Linked DNA regions of Canis lupus familiaris. The protein of the gene in region 1 interacts with the protein of each later gene in a biochemical or structural test. Links are inferred from orthologs where the notes say so. Each region holds a gene or a part of one and is shown in the gene's direction. Other genes may lie near its edges. The genes, in order: EIF4E, PML, EIF4G3, IPO8 and EIF4EBP3.

What was found.
Region 2: the proteins of EIF4E (region 1) and PML form a complex in vitro, tested with the Homo sapiens proteins (4 studies listed by BioGRID and IntAct). The link is inferred for Canis lupus familiaris from reciprocal best matches to the Homo sapiens genes EIF4E and PML.
Region 3: the proteins of EIF4E (region 1) and EIF4G3 form a complex in vitro, tested with the Homo sapiens proteins (3 studies listed by BioGRID and IntAct, with this or other methods). The link is inferred for Canis lupus familiaris from reciprocal best matches to the Homo sapiens genes EIF4E and EIF4G3.
Region 4: the proteins of EIF4E (region 1) and IPO8 form a complex in vitro, tested with the Homo sapiens proteins (2 studies listed by BioGRID and IntAct, with this or other methods). The link is inferred for Canis lupus familiaris from reciprocal best matches to the Homo sapiens genes EIF4E and IPO8.
Region 5: the proteins of EIF4E (region 1) and EIF4EBP3 form a complex in vitro, tested with the Homo sapiens proteins (2 studies listed by IntAct, with this or other methods). The link is inferred for Canis lupus familiaris from reciprocal best matches to the Homo sapiens genes EIF4E and EIF4EBP3.

What each region holds. Positions count from the first base shown.
Region 1 is NC_049253.1:18,850,035-18,854,584, forward strand, and holds the end of EIF4E (eukaryotic translation initiation factor 4E), read left to right. Parts: intron 1-1,795; coding exon 1,796-1,910; 3' UTR 1,911-2,891; downstream 2,892-4,550. UniProt on the Homo sapiens protein: Acts in the cytoplasm to initiate and regulate protein synthesis and is required in the nucleus for export of a subset of mRNAs from the nucleus to the cytoplasm which promotes processes such as RNA capping, processing and splicing.
Region 2 is NC_049251.1:37,703,501-37,709,067, forward strand, and holds part of PML (protein PML), read left to right. Parts: intron 1-2,138; coding exon 2,139-2,285; intron 2,286-2,663; coding exon 2,664-2,919; intron 2,920-3,031; coding exon 3,032-3,184; intron 3,185-3,973; coding exon 3,974-4,026; coding exon of another isoform or gene 4,027-4,101; intron 4,102-4,655; coding exon of another isoform or gene 4,656-4,667; exon of another isoform or gene 4,668-4,684; coding exon of another isoform or gene 4,685-5,281; exon of another isoform or gene 5,282-5,567.
Region 3 is NC_049223.1:77,219,480-77,225,473, forward strand, and holds the start of EIF4G3 (eukaryotic translation initiation factor 4 gamma 3), read left to right. Parts: upstream 1-1,966; 5' UTR 1,967-1,981; coding exon 1,982-2,027; intron 2,028-2,114; exon of another isoform or gene 2,115-2,129; coding exon of another isoform or gene 2,130-2,149; intron 2,150-4,173; exon of another isoform or gene 4,174-4,223; intron 4,224-5,994. UniProt on the Homo sapiens protein: Component of the protein complex eIF4F, which is involved in the recognition of the mRNA cap, ATP-dependent unwinding of 5'-terminal secondary structure and recruitment of mRNA to the ribosome. Functional homolog of EIF4G1.
Region 4 is NC_049248.1:28,998,096-29,004,148, reverse strand, and holds the start of IPO8 (importin-8), read left to right. Parts: upstream 1-2,294; 5' UTR 2,295-2,514; coding exon 2,515-2,598; intron 2,599-6,053. UniProt on the Homo sapiens protein: Involved in nuclear protein import, either by acting as autonomous nuclear transport receptor or as an adapter-like protein in association with the importin-beta subunit KPNB1.
Region 5 is NC_049223.1:34,867,603-34,873,438, forward strand, and holds EIF4EBP3 (eukaryotic translation initiation factor 4E-binding protein 3), read left to right. Parts: upstream 1-2,943; 5' UTR 2,944-2,999; coding exon 3,000-3,102; intron 3,103-4,210; coding exon 4,211-4,381; intron 4,382-4,543; coding exon 4,544-4,572; 3' UTR 4,573-4,882; downstream 4,883-5,836. UniProt on the Homo sapiens protein: Repressor of translation initiation that regulates EIF4E activity by preventing its assembly into the eIF4F complex: the hypophosphorylated form competes with EIF4G1/EIF4G3 and strongly binds to EIF4E, leading to repression of translation.

The sequences.
Region 1 (4,550 bases):
TTCCTTTCTAGATTAAAAGATAATGGAGATTTTCCAGGTTTTTTCTAAAAGAGAAGTTGAGGGCAGCCTGGATGGCTCAGCAGTTTAGTGCTGCCTTCAGCCCAGGGCCTGATCCTGGAGACCCGGGATTAAGTCCCACATCAGGCTCCCTGCATGGAGCCTGCTTCTCCCTCTGCCTGTGTCTCTGCCTCTCTCTCTCTCTCTCTTTCATGAATAAATAAATAAAATCTAAAAAAAAAAAAAAAAAAGTTGATTTGTCATCATATTCTTAACCTTTCAGCATCAAAACTTAATAGTTTTGATTATTAAAAAAACAATTTAAAAAATAAGTATGAAGTTCTTTCCTCTGAAAATATAGTATTTGTGTCAGTATTTAAAATTATTGAAATCTTTGTGAAATATTTGACTTCAGTTTTTTAATGGAGGTTATTTTGTTTTGTTTTGTTTTTGTTTTGTTTTGTTTTTGTTTTTTTTTTGACCCAAGTTACATGGCTGAGTGCTCTGGCTTTCTGGCATTTTTATGATTAAGTGTAATGGAAGGGAATACTTTGTATCCTCATATAAATCTGATAATGGTTATTTTAGTTAGAAAGTTATTTTTAGAAACTTTATTTGTAGGAAGGTAGTAGAATCTTCTGGAAGGTATGAGTATGAATAAAACTATCCTAGTATCATATTGGAGAATTTAGCTCCAATATGTATAAATGTATGTCTTTTATTTTATTTGGGTGCTTATTTTTGAAGGTTTGCTGTCTTTTCTTTAGAATAAGTGTCCAAATCCCTAACTTTACCTGTGATGCTCTCTGTGATCTAGCCTCAGTTTTATTTAACCTTTTTAACTCATAGTCCCTTTCTTTATGAGCTGTAGCCACACAGCCTTATTTAGTTCCCCAGCCTTCAGATGTGCTTCATTCTCTCAGCATTTTACTTTTAACCTCATGACTTTTAAAGGGGAGATTTCTCTAATTTCACAGACAAGATTAGATCATCCTTGTTATACAATATCACAGCCCCTGTACTTACCCACGTTGGCACTCGTCATAGTTTGTTCTTAAAATAGTCACATGTTATTTGAAAATTAGGTTGCAGAGTTAGTATAGAAGGCAGAAATGATGTATGTTTTAAATTACTCTGGAAATATCATAAAGTAATAAGTGTGGTAAATGTGATTTGCAGTAATATATTTATTATGGTTTATATATAAAATATAATTGTAGCATTTTATTTCATTTTATTTTTTAAAAAAGATTTTATTTATTTACTCATGAGAGACACAGAGAGGCAGGGACACAAGCAGAGGGAGAAACAGGCTCCATTCAGGGAGCCCAACGTGGGACTCGATCCCAGGTCTCCAGGATCACGCCCTGGATTGAAGGCCGTGCTAAACCGCTGAGCCACCTGGGCTGCCCTAATTGTAGCATTTTAGATGAAAGAATTAAAGTAGACCTATATAGGCAATAAATTTTGTATAAATGAGTTATGCATGTGATGCAGCTCCACTGTATTTATTATTTGTTTGTGAATAATCAAATACTATAAATACCCAGGGACTGTCCATGCTTTGCTTATTGATTTATTAGTAATTACGTAGTACCTGATAACATAGTGGAGTCTCAAATATTGGTTAAGTGTTTAACCAAGATTGTGAAAATGAGTCAGATTTGCTAAAAGGAAAAAGGTGTGCAATTTCCTATTTCACACTCTGTTTTTTTTTTTTATGTAAAGAACAAGAATACCAAATTTGGTGTATATGAATAAAAATTAATGACTACCTTTTTTCTTTTTCTTCTTCTAGGAGGGTATACAAGGAAAGGTTAGGACTTCCTCCAAAGATAGTGATTGGTTATCAGTCCCATGCAGACACAGCTACAAAGAGCGGCTCCACTACTAAAAATAGGTTTGTTGTTTAAGAAGACACCTTCTGAGTATTCTCATAGGAGACTGCGTCAAGCAATCGAGATTTGGGAGCTGAACCAAAGCCTCTTCAAAAGCAGAGTGGACTGCATTTAAATTTGATTTCCATCTAAATGTTGCTAAGATATAAGAGAAGTCTCATTCACCTTTGTCTTGTACTTCTGTGTTCATATTTTTTTTTTTTTTTTGGCTAGAGTGTCCACTATCCCAATCAAAGAATTAACAGTACACATCATCCCCAGAATCCATAAATGTGTTCCTGGCCCACTCTGTAATAGCTTAGTAGAATTACCATATAAACACATTTTGCCCATCCACAATATTCAAAAAAGAACTTCCATTTCTATACCTTACAGGAAAAAAATTCTGTTTATGTTCCATTGTATGCAGGAGCATATTTTGCTGGTTTGAAAGAGTATGATGCATACAGTTTTCTAGCAATTTTCTTTGTTTCTTTTTACAGCATTGTCTTTGCTGTACTCTTGCTGATGGCTGCTAGATTTTAATTTATTTGTTTCCCTACTTGATAACATTAGTGATTCTGATTTCAGTTTTTCATTTGTTTTGCTTTTGTTTTTTTCCTCATGTAACATTGGTGAAGGATCCAGGAATATGACACAAAGGTGGAATAAACATTAATTTTGTGCATTCTTTGGTAATTTTTTTTGTTTTTTTGTAACTGCAAAGCTTTGGTACAAATTTATGCATTTCATTCAAATCAGTGATCTATGTTTGTGTGATTTCCTAAACATAATTGTGGATTATAAAAAAAAATGTAACATCATAATTACATTCCTAATTAGAATTAGTATGTCTGTTTTTGTATCTTTATGCTGTATTTTAACACTTTGTATTACTTAGGTTATTTTGCTTTGGTTAAAAAAATGGCTCAAGTAGAAAAGCGGTCCCATTCATATTAAGACAGTGTACAAAACTGTAAATAAAATGTGTACAGTGAATTGTCTTTTAGACAACTAGATTTGTCCTTTTATTTCTCCATCTCTATAGAAGGAATTTGTACTTCTTATTGCCAGGCAGTCTCTATTGTGTCTTCTTGTAGTGTCTTCACCTGAACAGCATAAGTTTGGAGCACTAGTTTGATTATTATGTTTATTACAATTTTTAATAAATTGAATAGGTAGCATCATATATATGGAATTAAATTGATTTGGCTATCTTTGTTATTTATACAAGAAGGCATAGTCCTTCAGTCTTAGGTAAATAATGTACTCTTAATGTGTTAAAATTCAAGAGAATTGTTATCTTGGTGCATTACCATTTGATTGGTAGGAATGGTAGTTATAAAATTTGGTTGCTTAACTGGATGTTGTTTTCTAAGTGTCAATGATAGCATAGGGAAAGAGAACAGGTGGTTGGAGCTTATACATTTTGTTAGTATTGCTGTCTAAATAGAATGGAATAAATAGGTATGAAGACATATTTATATTGGTAAATTGGTGTAGTATGGTTTTATGTAAATTTTAAAACTTGATCTCTTTTTAGGCATTTGAAAGCACATGTGAAAAACTTTGTATATAATAGATAATTGTGTATTTCAGATGCAGTAAAATGAAATATGGCTATTATAGACAAAAGGGTAAGCTCAACTTAGAGAATGAAAATCAATTTAGATAAGAGGAAAATTTGTCTTTAAATGATGATTATGAATTAACTTAAAAACTGTTGTTTGACAAAAATCTTATATAAGTAAATATGAAATTAATAGTATTGATTTCATTGAAGAACTTTAAAACAGTTTAAAGGGTACCATAGGCTACCATCTAAGTATTCTCAATACCACAAACACCTCTTGTTCAGTATTCTAAAAATACTGAATTGTTTGTGTTTATAATCTCAATAGAATATATCTAATATCTGCTGCTTAAGCTTGAGTGATTGGTTAAGGTTATTTATTGTCTGTGTTGATATGTGTACTTGTGAGCACTTCAGGAGCCTGCTTATAAGTGATGGTGGTTGTGGTGTGTTGGCAATGGGTGGGATTGGAGTAGTATATCTATTAGAAATTAATGCTCTTTCCTAATTCTAAGATGCAGTCCATTTTAAGAAGCATCAGCTTTCAGGAGTGGAGGAGGAATAATGAATTAAATGTACACATTATTCTAAATTTTTTAAAAACCTGGTTTATATGCATTTGATTATCCTTATTATTACCATTTCAGAATCATAATCAGTTTTATTTTAAGTCTTTTCCCAGTGGGTGGGGAAGATGATAAATTACTGAGTCACTTTTGGCAGATGCCACATAAGTATTACAATGATTTGCAACTTTTCTTAACTTCATTAGCCTCTTTTCTAAATATGATTAGACTGTATATGATTTTCTAACTTTTTTCTCCCTGTCCAATAGGCGATTATAAATAAATATATTTTCATAATAGAGAATTAAAGTCTTTTAACAGAAGAATTGTAATTAATTATAGGGATGCGACATATTTAACCAATTTAATTGTTAACCCAGTTCTACAGAAGGATTTGAGATATACTATGTAAGAATTAAATAATTACAATACTTATATATTACTTATTATGTGCCAAGGAGTGTTCCAAGCACTTTACATGCACTTTAACCTGCACAAGTATCCTTTGATGTAGGTGCTTTTATCCCCCATTTAATA
Region 2 (5,567 bases), on another chromosome or scaffold:
GCACTCTGCGGAGATTGTATGCGTTCCTAGAGGCCCAGGAGATCGTCTGTTCTCTCCCCTTCCCCCAGATACACACTCTGCTCTGATCCAGAGGGACCGCTCTCCTTCCTTTCTGTAAAGATGCTGAGAAAAAGAAATCCAGGAAGGAAGAGGGGGCAAAAGAAATCAGTCCATTATAGCAAATGATACGGGAGCCCACATCCCACATCAGAGTGCTTGAGACCAAGGAGAGCCCCGGCTGGGGGTTCCGGTGCAGCACGTGGCTCCATCCCGTGCTGGGTTTCCCCTTCCTGCCCCCAGCACGGGTTTGGCCAGGCAGTTCCCGGGGTTCCCCCTGTGAGTGTGGTCCTGACCCCTCCTCTACCACACAGGAGGGAGAGAGCTTGTCCCTGGGAGGAAGGCATATCCCCGGCCTCCTCCTAATCTCACAGTCCAGGGTCTGGCTTCTCCAGAGTAGCTCTGCTCGAGGACGCACCCCGTCCAGCTGTGAGGGGTTCCCTTTCCTTCACTACACAGCTCACCGCAGGGCTCTGCTCATGGTCATCTCCTGGGCACACACGGAGCTGGAGCACCAACGGGGCAGGATTGGAGGCAGGAATAGCAGGCCAGGGTTCCTGGAGCCGAACGCCAGAGTCTGGGCCTCCCCTCTCCGAGGGACACTTCCCACATCACTTGTCACTTATTTTCAGCAAACTGTCCAGCGGATGCTTCACAGTAGAGAAAGGTGGTGTGGAGGGATAGAAAGGAGAGACAGTGACTAAAGAAAAGGGAACTTGGGGACACCTGGGTGGCTCAGTCGGTTGAGTGTCCGCCTTCAGCTCAGGTCATGATCCCAGGGTCCTGGGATGGAGCCCCACAGCTGGCTCCCTGCTCAGTGAGGAGCCTGCTTCTCCCTCTCCTTCTCTCTGCCACTGTCCCTTCTTAGGCTCTCTCCCCACCCCCTCTCTGTCAAATAAATAAATAAATAAATAAATAAATAAATAAATAAATAATAAATAAAGGAACTTGCATTTCAGAAACACTAGATTCAAACCCTGCCTTGGTCCAGGACCTTGGGGAATCAGATAGCTTCACCCCTTGTCCCTCTGACCCTTCTCTTAGGTTGGCAATAACCACGGGATGGTCCCTGTTTCTTTCTTTTAACGGTAATCTTTTTTTTTCTATTGTGGGAAAATTCATAGAGGGAAGTCGCCATCTGAACCATCTTAGAGAGTACAGTTGGGTGACCTCTAGCACCCTCAGTCTTGTACAGCCACCCCACCCAGCTGGGCCATTGCCCCGAAAGGAGACGTGGCCCTGTTCGCCTGGGGGGTGCCGTACAACGTGCGTTCTTCTCTGGCTGCCTTCATTTCATTTAGCGCAGCGTGCAAGGTTCATCCAGGCTGCACCTTCCTTCTTGTGGCCAAATAATGTCCCGACCAATGGCTGCGCCGCATTTTGTGTATCTACTCAGCACCTGATGGACCTTTTGGCCGCTGTGAATATTCGTGTGCAGGTTTCTGTTTGAACATGTTTCCAGTCCGTTGGGCCTGTGCCTGGGAGCAGAATTGTTGGCTCATTTGGAAATTCTGTGGTTAGCTTTTGGAGGAACTGCCCCTGCCTGCTTCCTTTTGACTTAGATGTAGGACACACTTCACCTGGTGCGACCAAAACAGTACTGACCGTTATCGGTGGTGGCACTTAGGAAGTGCCAGGTGCTCTTCTAAGCACGCTTCATCCACAGCGTCCCCTGAGACCGCTGGTACCGGTATTCCCGTTCTGCACAGGGGAACTGAGGCCGGAGTAGTTTTAAGTGATGTGTCCCGGGTGTGTACTGGCTTCTCTGGCCGCGTGGGATCAAGGCCCGGGGGCAGAGTGAGGGTCACGGCGAAGCTCCCAGGGAGGGTGTCCTCGCTGTTGGAACTCCGCACCTGGAGAGGATTGGCTTCCGTGGGGAGTGAGAGCTTTGTTTCTAGAGCTAGCTGTTGAGCAAGCTGTCAGGCCTTCTGGTCCGTGCGATACCAGAAGTCACTGGCTGGCTCTGGGCGAGAGCCAGCACCTCATGGGCCCGAGAAGGTGAGGTCCTGGAGGGTGCGAGGAGGAATTCCTGGTCCCTGGGCCGCCCCCAGGCCGGGGTTCTCATTTCCATCTGTTTCTAGACCCCACCGCCGGAGGAGATGCTGGAGAGTCCGGCGCAGGCCCCGCAGCTGACGGAGACCCACACTGGGGCTTTGGTACAGTCGGTGCCCGGGGTCCACCCGGTGCCGGTACACGCCTACTCCATCAGAGACCCGTCCTGCAGAGAGGTGAGCTTCCCTCCGCACCCCACCCAAGGCCCAGGTCCCACCCGGCAGGCGGGGCCGATTGGGGTGAGAATGCAGGCCTTTGTCAGCACCGACTCTGTTCTCTCCCTTGCTCCTGGGGGCCATGCTGCAAAGCCCCCCATAAGCACGAGCCGCTCCGGGGCGGGCAGAGGCCTGCAAAGGCGGTGGTCAGCGCACAGCCAGTGCGTGTGATGGCTCAGGGGGCACCCTGTGTGGAGAGAGACACGATCTGCACGGCGAGAGCGGGGGGACCGGGGTGAGGGAGGCCCACAGGCCCCTGCCACCCAGGTCTGCATCTCTGCCCACCGCCCCGGCACCCCCGAAGGCTGCTAACCTGGCCTCTGACTCCCTGCCGTGTAGGAGGTCTGCAACAAAGTCACTCCCCAGAAGAGGAAGTCCTGCCAAACTGAGTGCCCCAGGAAGGCCATCAAGATGGAGTCTGAGGAGGAGCGGGAGACTCGGTTGGCCCAGAGCTCCCCGGAGCAGCCCAGGCCCAGCACCTCCAAGGCGGTCTCGCCACCCCTGGATGGGCCCTCCAGCCCCGAAAGTCCCATCATGGGAAACGAGGTCTTTCTGCCCAACAGCAACCACTCAACCGGCGACCCTGGGGAGGCAGGTAGGGAGGCGGGCAGGCGGCAGAGGCCAAAGCCAGCGTGCTGTCCTCCAAGGCCTGGGTGGGACCCAGGGAGGCCAAAGGCAACATCGTCCCCCTTTTGTTGTGCCCTCAGCTGCCACCAGAGGGGAGAGGGGACACCCACGGTTTGCCAGAGGAGGGAGTGAGGATGGATACAAGTTACTGCGTGATGTACTGGGATTCCAGTGCGAGGAAGCCCGTGGTTCCGTAGCTCCTTCCCCCGACACACACAAGGGTGCATCTGTTGGTGGGTACCTAGCACGTGCCCAGAGAGACCTCGGGGAAAGTCCACACCTCTCACTTCCCAAATTTGTCTGCAAAGGTCACCTGCCTCAAGTGTGCCTCATTTGTCCTTCAATCTCTCTTAGGGACGCTGCCAGACAGGGAGTCCTGGGGCATGAGCTGAGGTCAACTAATAGAATTCTGGAATGGTCGAGACAGTTCTTTCTAGATCTGCTTCACCCAGAGGCCCCCTTTGTTTTCATTCTAGATCCCAGACTGAGCCCTGATCCTGCTTGCACACTGAGCCCTGACCGACATTCCTTGCTCACAATGCTATTGGTAATCAAAAGGTTTTGATTAACCAAATAAAGTATCTTCTAAGCCAAACATCTCAGCTCATGAGGCTGAGGGTTGGAGCAAACCAACGTGCTTCTTTCTCTAGGATTGCAAAAGTTCCAAAGCAGGTGCTGCTTGCCAAGTTGCCTGTATCGGGGAGCAAATTCCGATTTCAAGGCCAATAGCTAAATCGAGTATTCACGCACAGGGCACAGTAGGCAGTGACAGAAAGCCGTTTTGAATAAGCAGACCCTGATGGAAGGTCCCTCGTAAAGAGGGGTGTCAGGAACCAAGCTGAATAAACAGACCCAGACCAGCAGGCATGCCCGGGGAATATTCCCATCTCCCCCCGCTGCAGGGCACACGTCGTCTGCCCCATCCACTGGCCCTTCAGGGATTCCCACGGAGTGTATACCTGGGGCCCCACCCAGCGGGCGTCCCGGGAGGGCCTAATGCTGTCCCCCCTGCCTTGTTTCAGAGGAACGCGTCGTGGTGATCAGCAGCTCGGAAGACTCAGACGCTGAAAACTCGGTGAGTGGTCCAGAAGTTCGGCCCCGGACTCCTGCCTCCCCCCACTCCAGGTCCCAGGGGACACAGCCACAGCAGGTGACTCTCAGACTTGCCCTGCGCCTGGGGAGTTCTCCAGCGAGGCAGTGAGTTCCCCGCTGTCCTGAGGACAGCCTCCAAATGCCAGCTGCGGGCCCGGACCACCCCAGCCGTCCCCCCGTACCAGGGCAGGAGCCTTCAGTAACCATATGTACTCCTCCGAAATGCTGATAGAACGCTTCCTTCCAGCGCCCTGTCTCTTTGCTGGACTAGCCAATGCCTTTGTCTGGAGCTTCCTTACGCCTGGAGCTTCCTTATGTGTTCTCTAACCTCTAAGTCCTCAGCAAGGAGGGTGGATGAGAACCCATACCCCAGCTAACCGCAGCCAGCGAGGGTCAGCGCAGGGGCGCGAGGGTGTGGGCAGCAGTGCACAGGGCCCAATTAGGCCAGTTTTCACTCCGTAAGAGAGGACTTTAAAACCACCCCACGGTGGAGCGAGCACCGCTGTGGGCTGCCACCCTTCTGTCCCTGGAGGTTGGTTAACGGAGGCTGGGGAAAAGGGGATCCGAACAGAGTGAAAGGTTGGACTGGGTGGCCTCTGAGGTCCCTTCCAGCTCTCAGTCTGAGGTTCTGTGTTGGAAAGTGCACGGAGTCCACGGAGACCGCGACACCACATGCCTCGCCTGCCCACCCCCTGCCAAGAGCACAAGGAGCCTTCCGCCTCTGCTGGGCCTCCCGCCTGCCCCATGGCGCATGCCGCCCCCCGGCTCGGTCTTCCCACCACCCCGCCGCAGTCTCTGAGGCCGACTCTCCCAGCCAGCCTGCCCGCCACCAGGAGGAGGCTGCCGTCCGCCCCCGCCGCGGGACCGGCCCCCTGTCCCGTAGAGTGCAGAGAACCACCCGTCTTGGGCGTATCTTCCGCCTGCCCCTCAAAGTGTACTGTAAACCCATGTGGACTTACCCTGCCCCTGCAGTCCAGGCCACCACCCCTGCAGCCACAGGGCCTCCCGGCCATCCTGTCGGTGCCCGGGAGGGTCCCTGCTTCTTCCAGAGGGCCATGGGCCACCGACGCCGGGCACGCGGAGCAGTGCGCTCCCTCGGCTGCTCCCTCCGGGGCTCCCCCAACATAGCCCAGTGGCTCAACAACTTTTTTGCCCTTCCTTTCTCCGCTGTGGCTGCTCAGCTTGACACCTCTCTCAACAGTGGGAATGAAGGGGGACAGAGCGCCCCAGACTCTTAGGGCGGGAATCTCCCCCAGGGATTGACACAGCCCCCGGGGAGAACCCCCTCAGCCACTACGTGGTCCAGGTCCCACTGAACAGCTCTCCAGTTGCCTTGCCACCCCCTTGCCCTCCAGAGACGCCCCCCACCAGCCCAGCCGCCCTCAGACAGGCCTCAGAGTCCCTGGCACCTCCCTCTGCTCTAGCTGCTGGCCACCATCCTCTTGGAGCCTTGTGGCCACTCACTCAGCCCCTGCTGCCCGGGCTGCCTCCACCCCACTGTGTGGCCCAGCCCGGCCCATGCAC
Region 3 (5,994 bases), on another chromosome or scaffold:
CGGCCCATGAGGATATTGCCGTGAAAGGTCCGGTCTCTCCGCCTCCTGCCCCCGCCGGGTCCGGCCCCCCCCCCTGGGGTCGCGTTGTCACGGAGACCGGCAGCCGGTGGTGCTGGCCCGCGGGGCGGCTGCTGCTGCCGGCGGCGGCGGCGGCGGCGGCGGCGGGCGTGTGTGACCGGCCCCGGCCCCCTCCTCCTCCTCCTCCCAGCCTCCCCCCGGCCCCCCGCTCCCGCCGCCTCCCCGGGTCTGCCCCCATCCCGCCCCCCCGCTGCCCCCGGCCCCTGCACCCCGGCGCGCCCGGTCCCGCTCTGGGGGGGTTGGTGGCTTCGCTTTGCCATGAGTTTACCGCAGAAACCGGCTCTGAAATCAGGCTCAGCGGCTGCAGCAGGAACCGGACCCGGCACCGGAGCGGCGGCGGCGGCGGCAGCAGCGGTACCGCCTCCTCACCCGGCGGCAGCAGCAGCGGCGGCGGCAGCGGCGGCGGCGGCGGCGGCAGCGGCCCCTCCTCACCCGAACATCAGGGCCCTCCAGACCCAGGCGCCCCAACAGTATCCTTTTCACCTTCCTGCCGGCCTTTCGGCTTCTCGCCGCAGCCCCGGGAGTGGGGGTGGGGGGATGGGGGGGGGGTGGGCCGGCTCCCCGGGGACCCTCCTGCCGGCCGCCACAGCCCAGTCGGGGAAGGGGCTGCTGCCTGAGCCCCCGCAGCCGGCTCGGCCGGAGCTTTCGGGGTGCCTCGGCGGCCGCAGCCCCGCGGGGGACCCCGGGACCCTCTGCAGTACTGTGAAAACTAGCTCGGTTCGGCCTGGCCTCTGCAGCCCTTCCCTTTTAGAGCTGGGGGACCCTTCCCCCCACCTCCTGGCCTCCCCCCGCCCCCCTTTATTAGGCCGAATTTGCTGGTGCCTGGGACCAGCCCTGCAGGGAAGGCTTTTCTCTGTTGTGAGGACTACACCCTCCTCCTGCTCCTCTCTCTCCTGCTCCCCCTGCAGCGGGGCCTGGTGGTCTTCCCTAATTGTTATTATTAGTACATAATAAACTTTATGGGTAGATTTCCTGTCTGAAAGTAAGCTCAGTTCGTTTTTGAGGTAAGTCGGATTTTAAATCTACCGTGAAAATGTACGAAAAGCACCCCCCTCTCTCTGGCTAATGTTGTTTAGCGATGCGGGGGGGTGGGGGGGAGTTGTGATGTGGTTTGTGGTGGAACGCGATCTGAGGAGGAAATGTTACACCGGACGCTTCCCTGTCTTTGACCTTTTTAAAGGAAGAGGAAGTTAACTGACATTACCCATCACCCCCAAAAGTCTCACTTCTTGGAAGGCTTCTGTTACGGATATTTTCAAAGGCTTTAATTTCCTCTTCTTAGGCCTGATGTCTAGAGGGGATCAGGGCTTCTGGAGGACAGTCTGGTATTGAATGTATCTAATTTCATGTTATTTGCTCGATTGTAGAATTTTTGGACAGCTTTGATTGAAAAGACTTGATCACGAGGTATTTTAGTCAGAAACTAGCCGGTGAAGGTAAAACGTTGAATTCATGAATTCCACGGAGATTTAGAAAGTATTACCTACCTGAGAATAACGTTTCGTCATGCACCTTTCCCTCCCCCATCCGTTGTATTTGTGTAAATCAATAAATAACCATTGGCTGTTAGATGTGTTGTGTTTTTGTATTTGTGTCATTTTGTGTTTGACTTCCAGAGAGAGTAGGGTGTTGGAGCAAATAATTGCCGTGAAGTCCACGGATGATTTCACAGTCTGTAGTTTGATTCCTGTCTGTATCGATTACTTTGAGAAGGGAAAGGTATCTCCCTTCTAGAGTCATTTCAGGTCACCCTTTTGGTTTCTTTCAAGTGTCATTTTCTCTGTTCTTTAAATATTGTTATTCAATCCAGGCAGTGTGGTGCAGAGTAAAGATAAATTCCATTCCAGTGTGATGTGTGTACTGATTTCATAATGTTTTTATCCTGCATGATTCTTTTTCACGGATGAGAATGCTTAATGATACCTTAGTGTTGCTCATGGAAAAAGCTGGTTAGTGTTGATCTAGATCCCTAGTTGCTTTACTTTGGGGGGAAAAAAGGGTTGGCTGATTTGCCTACTTACAGGTGGAGGTCACTGCTGGATCTCTTAAACATGTCTTCACTTAATGCTTTGTGAGTTTGAGTTCCTTTCTAATTTCAGTCTTTTTTTTTTTGGTCTTGATTGCCCATACTTGGTTAGGGCCGTAAGTTTATATACTGTGCCACCAAGTAAATTCTTCATTACTTGTATCTTGGAGCTATTTTGGCAATTAAGCATTGAAAGGAAGCCCATAGCATCTGTGCTTGATGTACAAAGTGGTAAGTGACCAGTGCTTCACCAAGTGCTTGGAGCTTTATTTGGACGCAGAGCTGTGATTTAAGTGTTCACGTGTGCTTTTTCTCAATGCATTTCACAAAGGAAGGACTTCTACAAGCTCTGAGTTGGTTGCAACACAGAAGTAGTTACCAGTACTGCAACAGTTGTTAAAGGGCATACATTTAAGGTGTAATTTCCGGTGGCAATGATACTTACACCCATTTGTAGTAATGTGGGATAGTTGGTTTTATGTGGCTTTAAGATTTTACATGGTCTCATGTCATAGAATAGATTAAAATTCTTAATGTATTTCACAATTCTGTTATCTTAATGCTTCACTCACTGAGGTTTCAATTAGTGAAATCTAAAGGTTTGGTAGTTAATAAGGTATAGGTTACAGATTTCATTAGAACATACTAATATGATGAAATGTTACGAGTGGTAGTGGGGAATAGGTTAAGATGGATTGAAACAGAGCAATTTCTGCTTTTCTACCCAGAAGGAGTGTGGGAATTGGCATTTGTTTGATGAAAGTAGTCATCATGTGATTAGTTGATACACATGAAGCTTTGAAACTGAGGTGCAAGACTGGAGTTGCTTTTTTCTATGGCTTGGTTAAATCTCCGGTTCCTCAAAATATATGGGTACAATTGTGTTTGAATTGAATTAATAAATTCATATAGCTTTTTAACTTTATGAAAATATTGGAAGGAGAGTCACCTGACAGTGTTTTTGGTTTGTACTTTGTGTTCAAGTGACAAATTAGAAATGGAGAATGTTGGCAATAATAAATTGAAATATAAAGCGGAACCTATGTCTAAGCATCATTATTGCATGGCGGGCCCATAAAGCCATTTCAGTTTCAGGTAGAGGCCTTTGACTGCAAAGAGACCGAGAATGGGGCCTGGCAAGGAATGGGACATGATGGAGGGTGGCAGGGATGGTGGGGGATGAAAGAGGATAAACCCTACTGTGAAAAGTGCTACTGTGAGGGAGGAATATGCTTAGAGTTTTTATAACGTAATCCAATATGAATAGTTTATGAAATTGGCACTTCAAGATACTTGCCTTGAGATATGCTCTCCCCAGCTTCCCAGTATGAGCTTCTGAAGCTCTGAGCATTTTAAAAGTGATTCTTAACCTTTTCTGGGTAACAAATAACTTTGACATTTTGATGAAAGCTTTTAGACCCTCTCCACAGAAAATCGTTGCTTACATTTTCAGAGGGTTCTTGGGCCCCCGTTAAAAGCCTAGCCCTTTAGATGGAAATTGCTTACCTTTCAGATTAATTAAAGATAAATTAGTTTGAATTTAGGTGCCCAAATAGTTCTGACTTAGAGCAATTTTGCAGTCTGTTATGAATACACAGTGTTCTATTTATATGGCAAGACTTCAGGGTGTAATTTCTCTCCGAGCTGCTGACACTTCTGGGGAGTCTAGTTACTGTTTTGGGGCAGCCAGTTTGGTTAAAATCAGGGCAGTGGGTTCTTTGAAGGAACTAAATTTGGTAAAGGCCTGTGGCAACAGGAAAATGACCTGTGTCCTCAGCTATTTTGTCTTGGATATGATATATTAAAAACAAATATGCCAATTGAGGGTTTTTTTGTATTTAATTCTTTTTTTTGTTTTCTAGGTTGATTTTCAGTTTTATAGGTTGAAGCCATAACATTTATTTCCCTCTTTTTTGCCTCTTGACCAAAGCTAAATCTGCATAATGTTAATAGTATTCATTATTGAGTGCCTACTGTTCTAGTACCATACATGCATGATTTTATTTAGTTTTTTTTTTCTTAGTTTTCACAAGAATCCTAATAAGGTAGGTACTGTTTATATTTTACAGATGAGGAAACTGAAGAGTAGAGAAGTAATGTTCCCAAGGTTGTCCATCTAGTAAGTGGTGGTCCACAGCTCAGACCGTGGTATGATTGGCTCCAAAGCTCATGAATGTCCTTTCTACTATGCCTTGTTACTTCTTTGTTTTTAAAGATTTTATTAATTTCTTCATGGGAGACAGAGAGAGAGAGAGGCAGAGACACAGGGAGAGGGAGAAGCAGGCTCCATGCAGGAAGCCCTATGTGATGGGGATCCCTGGGTGGCTCAGCGGTTTGACGCCTGCCTTCGGCCCAGGGCATGATCCTGGAGACCCGGGATCGAGTTCCACATCGGGCTCCCTGCATGGAGCTTGCCTCTCCCTCTGCCTGTGTCTCTGCCTCTCTCTCTTTCTGTCTATGAATGAATAAATAAAATTAAAAAAAAACAAAAACAAAAAAAGGAAGCCCAATGTGAGACTCTATCCCGGGACTCCGGGATCATGCCCTGAGCCAAAGGCCAAAGGCAGAGGCTCAACTGCTGAGCCATCCAGGCGTCCCTGCCTCGTTACTTATTTCTTACCAAGTTGGCATATGAGAGTGGGAGGTAGTTAGGGTAAGGTCTTTATGCGGTACAGAGGCTCTGTGGAGTTATTTAGAATATTATGATACTGTATCTTGTTTTAATTAGTTCTCAGCCACATATTGCAAGACATGTATGTTATCTTTACCTCATTGACTCTTAAAGCATTAGAATAGGCCTGCACCATTTGATTCAGTGCATGTTTCTGCTTGTTCAGAAGTTAGCAAGGCCTCTAGCAAAATACTGTTGTAACTAGCAGCTAGAACTCTGTAGCTCATGAAGCGGCCAGCAGTCTCTCCACTCCTATGCCCCACCATCAACAGAAATGAATGTGTGTTCTTAAGGGTAGATCCTCTTCTAGGAAGGAGATGGGGAGACTGATGGAAGATGAAGATTAGGAAGGAAGAATGCTACTCAGGTACCTGAATCACTGCTGCTGCTGCTATTCCTTGTCCTAGGCTTCTAGGTCTTCAAGTGAGGTCTTTTCTGTCAAACTGAGGTTAAACCACCGAAGGACTGATATGTTTTTTTTTTCTTCCACATTGGAGTTTTCTTTTCTTTCTTTTGTTAAAGATTTTATTTATTTATTCTTGAGAGACAGAGAGAGGCAGAGGGAGAAGTAGGCTCCCTACAGGGAGCCTGATGTGGGACTCAGTCCCTGGACTCTGGGATCACGCCTTGAGCCGAAGACAGACACTCAACCGCTGAGCCACCCAGGCATTCCCTTATAGACACTTATTAATGTATTCTTTGTCTGATGCTCAGTGACATTAGAAGCATACTAACATGGATCATGGGGAAGGCAACTTGATTGTATAAGAGGCTTCTGGGTTTTGGCTTATTAATGTTAGATTTAGTCAAACAGACTGAAATGCCTCTATGACTTGGGTAGTGAAGATCGTGGCATGGCTTGAGACCATAAAATAAGGTTGCTATGGCCAGCCAGATGGTGGCTTGCTCTGTTTGATGATACAGTTAGTTCATTATGAGGATGAGGGAAAGTAAGTTCTGGAATAAACTCTTGTGATGAGATACAATCTATTTTTACTTTAGGAGTAATAATTTGAGCTAATAGGAAACTTTTCCTGGTTTTTTAGCCAGGTGCCTGACTTCTAGCAGTGTATAAACTGCAGCTGAGATTAAATCAATGAAATATTGCGAGATCCCAGGCTACTTCTGAATTCTCAAATGGTTCCTAGTTCTTTGGCTTGCTGCCAATGAGGAGTTTTTCACTCTCTTGTAGCCTTAGCTGAAATTTGAGACAATTTTA
Region 4 (6,053 bases), on another chromosome or scaffold:
TTCCATTGTATAGGTGTGCCAGTTTGCTTAACCACTGTTTTCCAGATAGTTGGTATCATTTTAAACTCCTACCAATAATACTTGAGTGATCCAGTTTCTCTGCATCCTTGCCAGCATTGATGATGTCACTTTTTTTTAGTCTTTTCTCTCTTTTTATGTTATTGAAATAACAGCATCAAGCATCTCCCTATTCTAAATCATCTTCAGTGCTACCACACTTCAGTTTTAGACATGTGCCTTAAAGGATTTGGGTATATCAGGTAGAAACATGGTAGGCATTTGGATACATTTAGTTTAAGGAAAGAGCTCTTGGTTAGAAGCAGTTTTGTGAGTTGTCTCTGTTGAGTTGATGGTTTGAACTTATATAAGTGGATGAAATGACAGAAGCAGAATGGGTTTAAGAGAAGAGAAAGAGGAGGGCTAAAGACAAGAGTTCTGAGAAGCACCAGTGTTTAAGAGTTGGGCGATCAAGCGAGCCATCAAAATATTATGAATATATTCCTTATAAGGAAACGTTTTGTAAAAAGAACATGTAATACAGTGCCAGATACAAGAGAAAGACATTTTTAGCATTTAGTATCTAAAGGATCAGAGTTGATTTTTGCTTGGCAGTTTCAGTGAGGGAAACAAGGGCAGAAGACTATGGATAGCTGATTGAAGTATGAGTAGGAAGTAAGGAGAGAAGGAATGAAGACCATTCTTTGGAATGAAAGGTGAAAAAGAAGGAAGAATAATTAGCATTATTGGAGAAAGATTGTTTTTTAACTGGGGGAAACGTTTTTAGGCTGAGGTTGAGTCAGTGGGGAGAAAGGGGTTGAAAATACAAGAAAAAGTATTACAAACTAGTCAACTGTGAGCATAGAATTGTACCCAAAATTTATTTTAATGAAAAATACATAGAGAAGAGATTAAGCAAGGTCCCAGAAGAGATAGGAGAGGACTGGTTTCAGATTGGATGTAAGGAAGTGAGGACTGGTAAGCAGAGATTTGTTTGAGTGAGTTGAGCCTGATGACTTTGTTCATCTTTGCATGGTTCTAGGAGACAGGTAAAGAGTTTGAGAAGAGTCTCGAGGGTTGGGACAGTTGCTGGGAGAACGGAAGATGGTGCTGATTAAAGAAGGAACGGGATTGTTGATCCTGAGAAAAGAACACACATTTGTACTGGTGTCAATTTGTACAGTGGGTCAAGGGGTAGACAAGTTGAATTGGGGGTTCAGTAGCAGAGAAGGATGTGTTTCGGGAATGGGGAAACTAAGAACTAAAAAGGTAATTGAGTTGGAAAACAGGTGTAGAATTATTGAGGGAGAGCGAATGGAGGAATAGGTCTTAATTTGAAAAGAGGATATTGGGGTTAATATTTCAGAAGTCAAGGAGCTTTAGATTATCACGAGGCCCAAGAAAGGAGGTTAATGAAGTAGTGTGGGGATGAAAGTACTACGTTTCCTAAGACCCTGGAGTGCTAAGGAGTTTTTATTTTATCTTGAAATTGATGGGAAATCATCAAGGAAGGGACATGACAGTGTCAACCCTTAAACACTCTGATGTCAGCGTGGAGAATGGACTAAAGGGGGAACACGGAGCCGTTGCCAACCCCTGTGCCATTGAATTTATTGTCATAGTGGGTGGAAATTGTATACTCCTGGCCTTTCACTCTTTTTCTTAGAAGGTACAGACCTGTTTCAGAAAACTTCAGGCACATGGTTTCTCTGATCTCTTTATTTTCACACTTACTCTGTAAACATTTGTACGTTTGTCTCTTCTATCAGCTTGTAAGTTCCTTCATAAAAACCTCCATCTCGACCATCTTGTTGAGATGTGGTACCTACATATATCTCAATACTCTGCTCCAAAACATGTTTGACAAATGTTCAGGGAATGAATGAATGAATGAATGAATGATGGCTCCCAGGGACCAAGGGAATCCTGCCCTCCCTCGCGTGGGCTAGGTGATCTTTAGGTCCCAACAAGTGTGCCCTTGCACAGGTTCGTACTCACAAAGTGCCGCTCCATCTGTACATGCTTAATTAGGAAGTAGCTGTAAAGAGACCTGGAGCCTGCTGGTTTCCTCATCTGGGAAGCCGCGGAGGCTGTTTTCCGTAAGGCGGCATGGTGGCCTCCTGCCCAAGCCCGGGAGCGCCGTTTCTCTCCCGGGAAGAGGCCGGCGCTGTTTTCCGTACAGCATCATGGGGGCCGCCAGCGGGAGCGGCCATGGCGCCCCGCCCCGGGGAAGGGCCCGCCGTAAAGGAAGCGCCGCTTCCTCTTCTCGCTTCTCCCGCCTCCCACCGGCTGTCGTAAAAGGGTGAATGGAGAGCGAGTTGTGGGGGGTAGAAAGGGAGGACAGGGGGCGCGGAGTCAGAGTGGCGCAGCAAGTGGCTGCAGGTGGCGACGGTGGCGGGGGGCGGGGAGTGAGGTAGTGCAGGGGGCGCGAAGGAGGAGGCTGCGAGGGTCAAAAGGAAAACTGAAGCTGCAGTCTGGCCTACTGGTCCGGGGGCCGCGGAGCCCCCGCCCGGGGAGATGGACCTCAACCGGATCATCCAGGCGCTGAAGGGCACCATCGACCCGAAGCTGCGGATTGCCGCCGAGAATGAGCTCAACCAGGTGAGGCGCGGGCCGGCGCCCCCCCCCCCCCCCCCCCCCCCCCGGCCCCCGCGCGCGCTCCGGGCTCGGCGCCCCGGGTCTCCACCCGGCCGGTGCCCCGGACCCTGCGGCCGCCGCGGCCCGCCCCGCCCCCGGCCCGCACCCCGCCCCCACCCTCCGCGCCCCGCCCCGCCCCCACCCGCCCCCGCCCGCCCCCGCCCCCGCCCCCGCCCGGGCCGGCTTGGCGCCGCTCCTGCGATCTTTCTTCGGCCAGCACCTCGCGCACCTGTTGGCCACCTTTGCATCTTTTGGTCCCGCGTTCCCGCACAGCGCGGGTGGCGCGGCTCGCCCGGCCGCGGCGAGGGGCTCCGGGCGGCTTTGCTAGGAGCGCAGGCAGGGTGGGATTTCCCCAGGGACGCCGATTTGGGGGACGGCGGGAACGCTCACTCACAATTCGGAGTTCTGCTTTCCTCCAGACCCAGCCTTTTTTTTTTTTTTTTTTTAATTTAAAAAAATTTTTTTTAATTTAAGGTGTTGCGGTGGGAAACCCTGCCCATCGCCTGCTCCCGTGGGGTTGGCAGGACTGTTGGTGGACACTGATTGGCAGAGTTTTGCTGGAGCGCCGGGAAGCGCCGCCGGGACGGTGCAGGGGGAAGAGGAGGCAGTTTTCATGGTGCTACGATTTTACAATAGGCACATCTAGGAATAGGCATCTGGAGGGATTTCTTTCTCTCTCTCTCTCTTTTTTTTTTAAGATTTTATTTATTCATGAGAGACACACAGAGAGAGGCAGAGACACAGGCTGTGTGTGTGTGAGTGAGAAAGAGCCAGATGAGGGACTCGACCCCAGCACCCCAGGATCACGACCTGAGCCAAAGGCCGAGGCCCAACCACTGAGCCACCCAGGCATCCCTGGAAGAGATTCTTTATAAGCGCTGAAATGTGTAAGACTTTTTTTTATTTTATTTTAAAGATTTTATTTATTCATGAGAAACACACACACAGAGGGAGAGAGGCAGAGACACAGAGGGAGAAGCAGGCTCCATGCAGGGAACCTGATGTGGGACTCGAACCCAGGTCTCCAGGATCACGCCCTGGGCTGAACGTGGCGCCTAAACCACTGGGCCACCAGGACTGCCCAAGACTTTCTTTTATCTTCTGTCCTCTCTTCTTACTAGCCCTGACCCTGTTCCAGCCTTACCACCAACAATTTGAGAGTGTAATGATCCCCCAAATTAGCTTATGATTTTCATCCTCACCTATAAAATGAATGATAGACCTCTCATTAAAAAAAGTATGGGGACGCCTGGGTGGCTCAGCGGTTGAGCATCTGCCTTGGGCCTAGGGCATGATCCTGCGGTCCCAGGATCCGAGCCCCACATCAGGCTCCCTTCGAAGAGCCTGCTTCTCCCTCTGCCTGTGTCTCTGCCTCTCTCTGTGTGTCTCTCATGAATACATAAATAAAATCTTACAAAAAATAAAATAAAATAAAAGTTATGAATTAAGGTCTACTCCCCAGGGTAGAGTGACAGCTGGTTGAGGTTTTCCTTAAAATGTAAAGGAATATACCCTAAATGAGTGGTTTTCAAAGTATTGCCTAGGATGAGCAGCATCAACATCACCTGGGAACTTGCTGGAAACGGAAATTGCTGGGCTTCCAGGTTAGAGAATTAGAAACTCTGGGGGGTGGGCCCCGATTATGTTTTAATTAGCTAGGTAGGTGATTGGGTGCTTCCTCAAGTGTGAGAGCAGCTGTCTCAAGTAAAAGTTTCTGCCAGAGTTCACTAAGGTTTTCCCTGGTTGGAGTTGACTTTAAAGTGCAGTTGTGCATTTTAAATCTTTGAAATCCAGTGGGAGATCTGGATGGTGTTTGGAGTAAGTGTGAATTCAGGATTCCCAAGAGATAAAAGGGAGAGTGAAAACACTGGAGAGGTTGAGTTAAACTGAAGCATAAAGAGAATGTGCTGTTACCTCAAAAAGAAAAGGACTCTCGCTCAGAATAGGGGAAAGTTAAAGTGAGTACCTGTTCCAGGCTTTGCAGAGCAGAGGTACTATATGTCGATTGGCTAGAAGAACAGTAACCCAGGGATTGGTTAGAAGGAACAAAGCAAGAGCTGAAGTTGCAGTCTATTAGTATGAACAGGGGAGTTGGCCTGCTGGTGACCCCCTTCTCTTCACAATGAGGCCAGATGTTATTTTGCTAGTGTCAGGAGGGATCATATCTTTGATATCATGTTATACTTTCCTGCCTCCGTTAGCCTGTCCTTGCTTTGTTTCTGATTCATCAGCGTATAAGTGCAGTTGACTGTATAGAAGGGGAAGGGTTGATGGGAAAGCCTGCAGAACTAGAAGAGACGTTCGGGACCCAATTCTACATTTTCTTTCTTTGTGGTATTTCAGTTCACATCTATTTCATCCAAACTCTTGCCCTGTCCCATATCCACCCGTTTCATCCCGGGCTGTAATTTCCTCTGTAACTTGTAAAAGGAGCTTATTGCTATGCCACTCTTTTAGCATTCATATTTTGTATAATGCTTTTAATTGTAATATGCTCTAAGTATTTTTTTTTGAATTATCTGTAAGTAGAAGACAAGTATACCGCAACATAACCTTGTAGTAAAATATGATTATAATGTTGGGTTTTGTGTGCTTATTTTTTATCATTGCTGTAATATCCGGCTTTGTTGGATAAATGGGTGGGTAATCTACCATAAGTGATTAGGGTCCAGCTCATGTATTTTAGTCTAGGTCCCCCCACAGCACATATGCTCTGTGTAAGAAGTAGGAGCAGCTTCTGCAGTGTACTGATGATTTGTCAATTGCCATGTAGGAGAGTAGGCAGTTTCAAAACATAACAGCCTCTGTTCTGAAGGATAAATTCTTGTTTGGAGCTATGTTTTTCTGTAACCAACATATTTTTGTTACCAGTGACTGGTTCCTTGATTGCTCTGTGTGATATTGTTTCTGTGGGAAAACATATTTTCATTTTTTTCTTCTTCTTCTTCTTCTTCTTCTTTTTTTCTTTTTAAAGATTATTTATTTTAGAGAGAAAGAGAGCTTGTGAGCGTGTGGAGGGGCAGAGAGAGAGAGAAACTTCAGCAGACATGGGGATCAATCTCATGACCCTAAGATCACGACCTGAGTTGGAAGCTTAATTGACTGAGCCACTTAGGGGTCCTGGGACAACATATTTTCAGTTTTATCTTAGGATGTTAAGAATGCATCCTGTGCACAATCTTCCTTGTCTCTGGGCCCAGAGCAGCAAAGGGAAGTAGGAATGGGTAGATATCTTGCTCTAGTAACTCATCCACAAAGGTACGTTCTTTTAATAAAGCATTCTCCACATGGCCTCAATAGGGAAATAAAAAGAATTACTTTCTTGCCGAGCTTTGGAACCCCTGCTTCCATACATCTGTCTCTATTATTATTATTTTTTAAAGATTTATTTATTCATGAGAGAGAGAGAGAGAGATTGA
Region 5 (5,836 bases), on another chromosome or scaffold:
ATTATAGTTTCAAGCCAAACAAAAAGGAGTAGTTAGTAAACTTGATTCTGTCCCACTGTTCAAGACCTTTGGACCACATTGAAAACCCAGGAAGTAGCAAATAAGCCTGTAGGAAAACAGCTTCTGAACATCTTGTTCTCTAACTAGCCCTAGATCTCTTCTACCAAGAAGTGTTGCTGGTTGTGACGTCTTTCCAGTGGACCCTGTCCTGGAATGAGGGGCTCTGAAAACCCCATATTTTCTATTCATCTTTAAAGATTTGTCACCATTTGTCATCAGACATTCTTCACCTTTACTTTATTCTGTAGCAAGTGAATGAGAGAAAGATAGTTTTAAGTATCCAGAATTTATGTGCATTAAGACCACATCCAATAAAGAGCAGAAGACTGGGCTCTAAGTCCTAATTTGGAAAATAGGATCAGCAGTCTCAACACCAGACTGCCAAACCTGTTTTGATTACTTTTATCTCCTGCTTTATCTTCATGGTATTGGTCTAAGTCCAAAGTAGTTTGGTAGCAGAGACCTGATATTCCCTTAAGGGCTTAATCAGTTCCCTGGGGTTGGAGCCTAGGCATAGATTTTTTGTTTTTTGTTTTTCTATTTTTCTGTTTTTCTTTTTCTTGTGCTTGTCTGTATCAAGCTCACATATTCTAATGGGTAATCAGTGTTGAGCCTCTAAACTCTTGGTCCTTCATCCAAATTGCATGCATGATGTATCTGGCTTTCTCTCTAAGGCCAATGATCTATCTCTTGTTCCCTAGCCTTTAGAGCACACACAGCACCTCAAAACAAGCTTCTAGTAGCCGTACATAGTAGTGGTAACTGCTGCTGTCATTGTGTAGTAGAGATGAACATAAGAGTGACCTCACTTCCACACTGATCCTTCTTGAAAACTCTGGACACTTCTCAGCCTCCTTTGGTGAATCCTCTTCCTCCACTACCCCTTAAATAAATGTTGATGTGCTCAGGCCTCTTCTTAGGCTGTATCTTCTATCCCAGTGATCTCATCCCACACTCTTGGATTTCACTCCACCCAGATCTCAGTCACTAGCCTAGATTTCTCCCCCTGAGCTTCAGACCCATAGATCTAACTCCTTGCCATGCTGTTCCATCTCAGCATTCCACACGTTATATATTTCCCAATATAAGACAGGCTTCTCTCTCTCTCTCTCTTTTTTTTTTTTTTTTTTTTTAAGATAGGCTTCTCTTATTTTCCCCACTTTATTAGGGGCTGCTGCTACCACCAAGACTTTTAAGTCAGAAGACTGGAAATTATCCTAGCTTAACTCCTTCTCTCTCACCTCACCCTTAATCAGTCACCTTATCTTTCCCCCTCTGTGTATGGGGATCCTGACAACTTCTCTCCATCCTCATAACCACTGCCCTTCTGTCTACCCCGTTTCACTAGGCTAGAATCCTCACCTTCAGTCTCATGGTCCTCTATCCTATTCCTCACTACCCCCACAAGACTTACCTCAAAAACTGAGTTGTGGGGGATCCCTGGGTGGCTCAGTGGTTTGGCGCCTGCCTTTGGCCCAGGGCACGATCCTGGAGTCCCGGGATCGAGTCCCGCGTCGGGCTCCCGGCATGAAGCCTGCTTCTCCCTCCTCCTCTGCCTCTCTCTCTCTCTCTCTCTCTCTCTATGTCTATCATAAATAAATAAATAAATATTTTTTAAAAAAACTGAGTTGTGATAGACAGCTCCTCACAGTCTGCTCCCAAACCTTACCCTCCAGCAGTGTCAATCAAGACCCTTCTTTTAGGCATACATAACTTTGTAAGATGTTCAAAAATATTTTGGAACAATAAAATATAAATATCCTTGTTACCTGAAGTGTTACTCTAAGGACCTACAGAGCTGAGGGACTGTATCACCTGGGACCTAGAAGCTCAGGTCCTACCCCAAACTTACTATATCAAAATCTTCATTTACAACATATCCAAGGTGATTTTTATGCACATTAAAGTTTGAGAAGCATTGAGTAGTAAAACACTTTTTTTTTTTTTTTTTTAGTGAGTGGAGAAATCAAAGCTAAGGGAAAATATGATGAAGCCAGAACTGAAGTAACATTAATATTGTTAAATGCATGAAATCCAGTGGTCTGTACTTAATTGGGGGGTGAATCGTAATACTGATTTTAAGGAAATGAAGACCCCTTGACCAAATCAAGGTGTTTAGTATGTGTAGGTACTAGGTTTAGTACTTTCTTCTCCACCACCCTTCTCCTGCCTCCTTTCATATCACTGTGACTACATCAAAAAAATCCTCTAAGGCCAGACTCTCTGATCTTCCTTTCCAGAGAGCTAAAGACCAAGCCCTTCTCACCAGCCCCCTGCCTTTCCTTAGTTTCTTAAAGTTAGTTAGCTATATCACTTCTGCTAAAAAGGCTACCATCCCTCTCTGACCTTCCCCTTCCTGCTGTGCACCAGGCCATAGGGCCACTTTTTACCCTGTACTGTAATTGATTAATGGGAGGCAGTCCCCAGCTGTAAGGAAGGGCACAGGTCCTGGCATCAGATACTCTCAGGTCTGACTCCCAGCTCCCCCTCCTATAAGATAGAACTCTCAACCAGGGACTTAATCTGGGCTTTCCTTTCCTCACCTGTCAAATGTGGCTAATAATAGTGCTTTACTGTACAAAACTGTTGAGAGAAATGGGTGAATTAACACAGGGCAGTAGTGTGTGCTGTGCCTTACCGGTCCTGGCACCCGGTTTAACCAGTAAATAGCTGAATGGCTACAGCCCTGAGTCAGGCGGCCAGTGTTGAGCCAGGAGGATGCAGGCCTGTGCGGAGGTCCGAACTCCTTTCAAGCTTCCCCTAGTCAGGCGGCCTGGAGTGGGGCGGGACCGTCGGGTTGAGTGACGGCTAGCGGCCCGCCCCGGGCGTGACGTCATCCCGGTGTTGCTGCGGCGCACGTGGTCCACTGAGTCTGCTTCTGAGTTAGCTGCACTGGGCGCCCTGGGCTGGCGCCCCTGCCGACTGCCGTCCTGCTCGCTATGTCCACATCCACGAGCTGCCCGATCCCCGGAGGCAGGGACCGGCTGCCCGACTGCTACAGCACCACGCCGGGGGGCACGCTATACGCCACTACCCCGGGAGGTCAGCAGGCCGGGCTGGGGGTCCGCGGGCCCTGGGCAGGCCCAGCGCGGGCGTCCTGTGGCGGGCTGGGAGAGGGGAGGTGCAGGCCTGGGATCCTCGCCGCAGGCCCCTTTACAGGCTGTAGCTTTTGCAGGGGGTGGGAGGGTGTTTGGAACTGAAGGCCGGTTCAGTCCCCTGAAACTTCGAAGTAAATGCACCGTGGCCTAAAGCCTAGCTCCTGGGTGACTGTGGACTGAACTCCCCACTGTGGCCTGGGTTTTAGGTGCCCCTCCCGACTTTGCCGCCTGGCATTAGGACCCAGAGCCCGAGCTGAGCTTGACCTCAGCAGGAAGCACCAGGTCTCCCAAAGCGGCTAAAGCAGGACTCAGGCAGTTGGGGCCAAAAAGCCTTGAGTATCTGCAGGTGGCTGGCAGCTGTTTGGTTGGGCTGATTGCCTGGGATCTTGAGCTGCTGGGCTCTTGGACCCAGGTTTCCTGCCACGTGGAGGCAGAAGGGAGGGGCAAGAACAGGGTAGGGCCCTTTGAGAACAGAACCGGGGCCAAGTTTCTTAGGCTTGGGCTTAGCCTGATAGGACTTGGGAGGGGTCAGGGTAAGTAAGAACAGTCTGTCCCTGTTTCACCGAGAAAGCAGCTGTCCAGAGAGCACACCTTCTCCTTGCCGGGTACCCAAACCCAGATGGCAGCAAGGGTGAAATCTGCTATTTGGCCTCTTGAGCCAACTGCCTGAAGGGCTAACGACCCCCCACCCTACAGAATTGGGAAGCCCCAGATCCAGCAGAGCCAGACAGGAGCAGTCTTTAGTACCTGAGTTCTCCCAAGTTTTGTGCTCCTCCTTAGAACTGAGACCTGAAGCTTCCCTAAACCAAAATACCTGGACCAGCTGGGATGCCCTACTTGCTTTATGGCACTTAGCCACATCTTGGTTAGACCTGGAAGTCTTTTAAGTGCTCTGAAGGCCAGTCAGCTGAGACCCTGGCCGGTCTGCAGAGCAGTAGCCCTTTAATACATGGGGAAATGTGAGTTCCAGGTCCCTTAAAAGCCTGGGTATGACACCCTATAAGCTCTGTACCCAAGCTCCAGCCTCTTACCTAGTTCCTACCCCTTGACAGGCACCAGGATCATCTACGACCGAAAGTTCCTGCTGGAGTGCAAAAATTCACCCATTGCCCGGACGCCGCCGTGCTGCCTCCCTCAGATTCCCGGGGTCACAACTCCTCCAACAGCCCCACCCTCCAAGCTGGAGGAGCTGAAGGAGCAGGAGACAGAGGAAGAGATACCCGGTAAGGAAAGCAGGGCCTAAAATTAAGAAATACTGGAGTCCAAATGCCCCTGTTCAGTAGAGTGAGGGTTTAACAGTGAGAGGGGTTTCTGTACTGATGCTAAATTTGCTGAGCTTGCAGACCCTCAGCCCATCAAACAGTCCCTGTCTTCTTTTTCTCCAGATGACGCACAATTTGAAATGGACATCTAATCCAGTGCAGATGATCCTGTGTGGAATTAGAGGAATCCCTCATACCACTGCTGCCATCACCTCTTCCTGGTGTATTCCAAACACCAGGTGGCCTCATAATCTGGAAGGGAGTGACTTGGTGTCGGGCCTCCCTTAGTTCTGAGGCAACTAGACCAGGGATACGAGTGGGCAACTTGCCAAGCCCTTAGCTCTTTCCCTTCCGTCTGTAGATGCTCCTCCCAACGCCCAGCCCTCCATCATCAGGGGCTGAGGCTGGGACTAAGGGATGGAGTATGTCACTGTCTAACTGCTTAGTAAAAATTCAAAGAAATGCTTTGACTCTGGTGTTCTCCTTGATACTGACCTTCCCATCTCAGCCACAAAGCTGAGGGCCCCAGCAGACCTGGTGAGGATCAGAGGTCCCCCAGTCCATTCCCAGCTGTCATTAGGTCCACTTTCAGCAGCAGTGAGAGCCAAAGGCAGGTTATGGGGGCAGGCTACAAGAGCTGCCAAGCCATAAACAGCAATAGCAATAGCCTGACCCTTGCCAAGGGCCGTTCTAGCCTTTCCAGGAAGCAACCTTCCTGGAATTGGGCCTCTCCAGCAGTCCCTCCCTATTGATTCCAAATCAGGAAAAGGAGGCACTGCCCTAGAGTTTAACCTTCTCCAGTCCCTCCCATGCTTTTTCTGCCTTCCACCCATAAGTATCGTCCCCTGTTCCAACACTGAAAACCTGTATCCTCCCTTCTCAGCATAATTTAAGCCTCTATGACCCCTTCCATTTGGCTCTCCTGTCCTCAAGAGGGTTAGAAGACTTCAGGGCCCAGAATGAGTTAGCAGCTTACTTGGTGAATCAGTCATGATCCTACCCACCTAACTACCCCCAAGCACGCCTCCAAAAAGTCATGATCCCATGTTTCAGCAATCCAGTCTTCTTCATTTATACAGCTATGTTCTAATCTCTATAGCACTGTATGTCTCAAGGGTAACCAGAGTACAAACAGAGCAGTCTTCTTTTCTTGAGGGAAAAATCTTCTCTATTTGAGCCTCTGTTCTTATGCTGCAACGAAGTTATACAAAAATAGAGATACTCAGCCCAGCAAGGAATATGTGTTTCAGTCTATTTTGGGGGAAAGTGGCAGAAGTAATTGGTCATGCCTAGCAAAGTCATTCATGATGAAAGGAGGAAGAAGAGAGGCTTGTAAGGTACACAGATAGCAAGGCAGTCAAGGATACCATAAGGGACCAGTTTGGCACAAGAAGGGCTTCTCTCTCCTACCCAGAC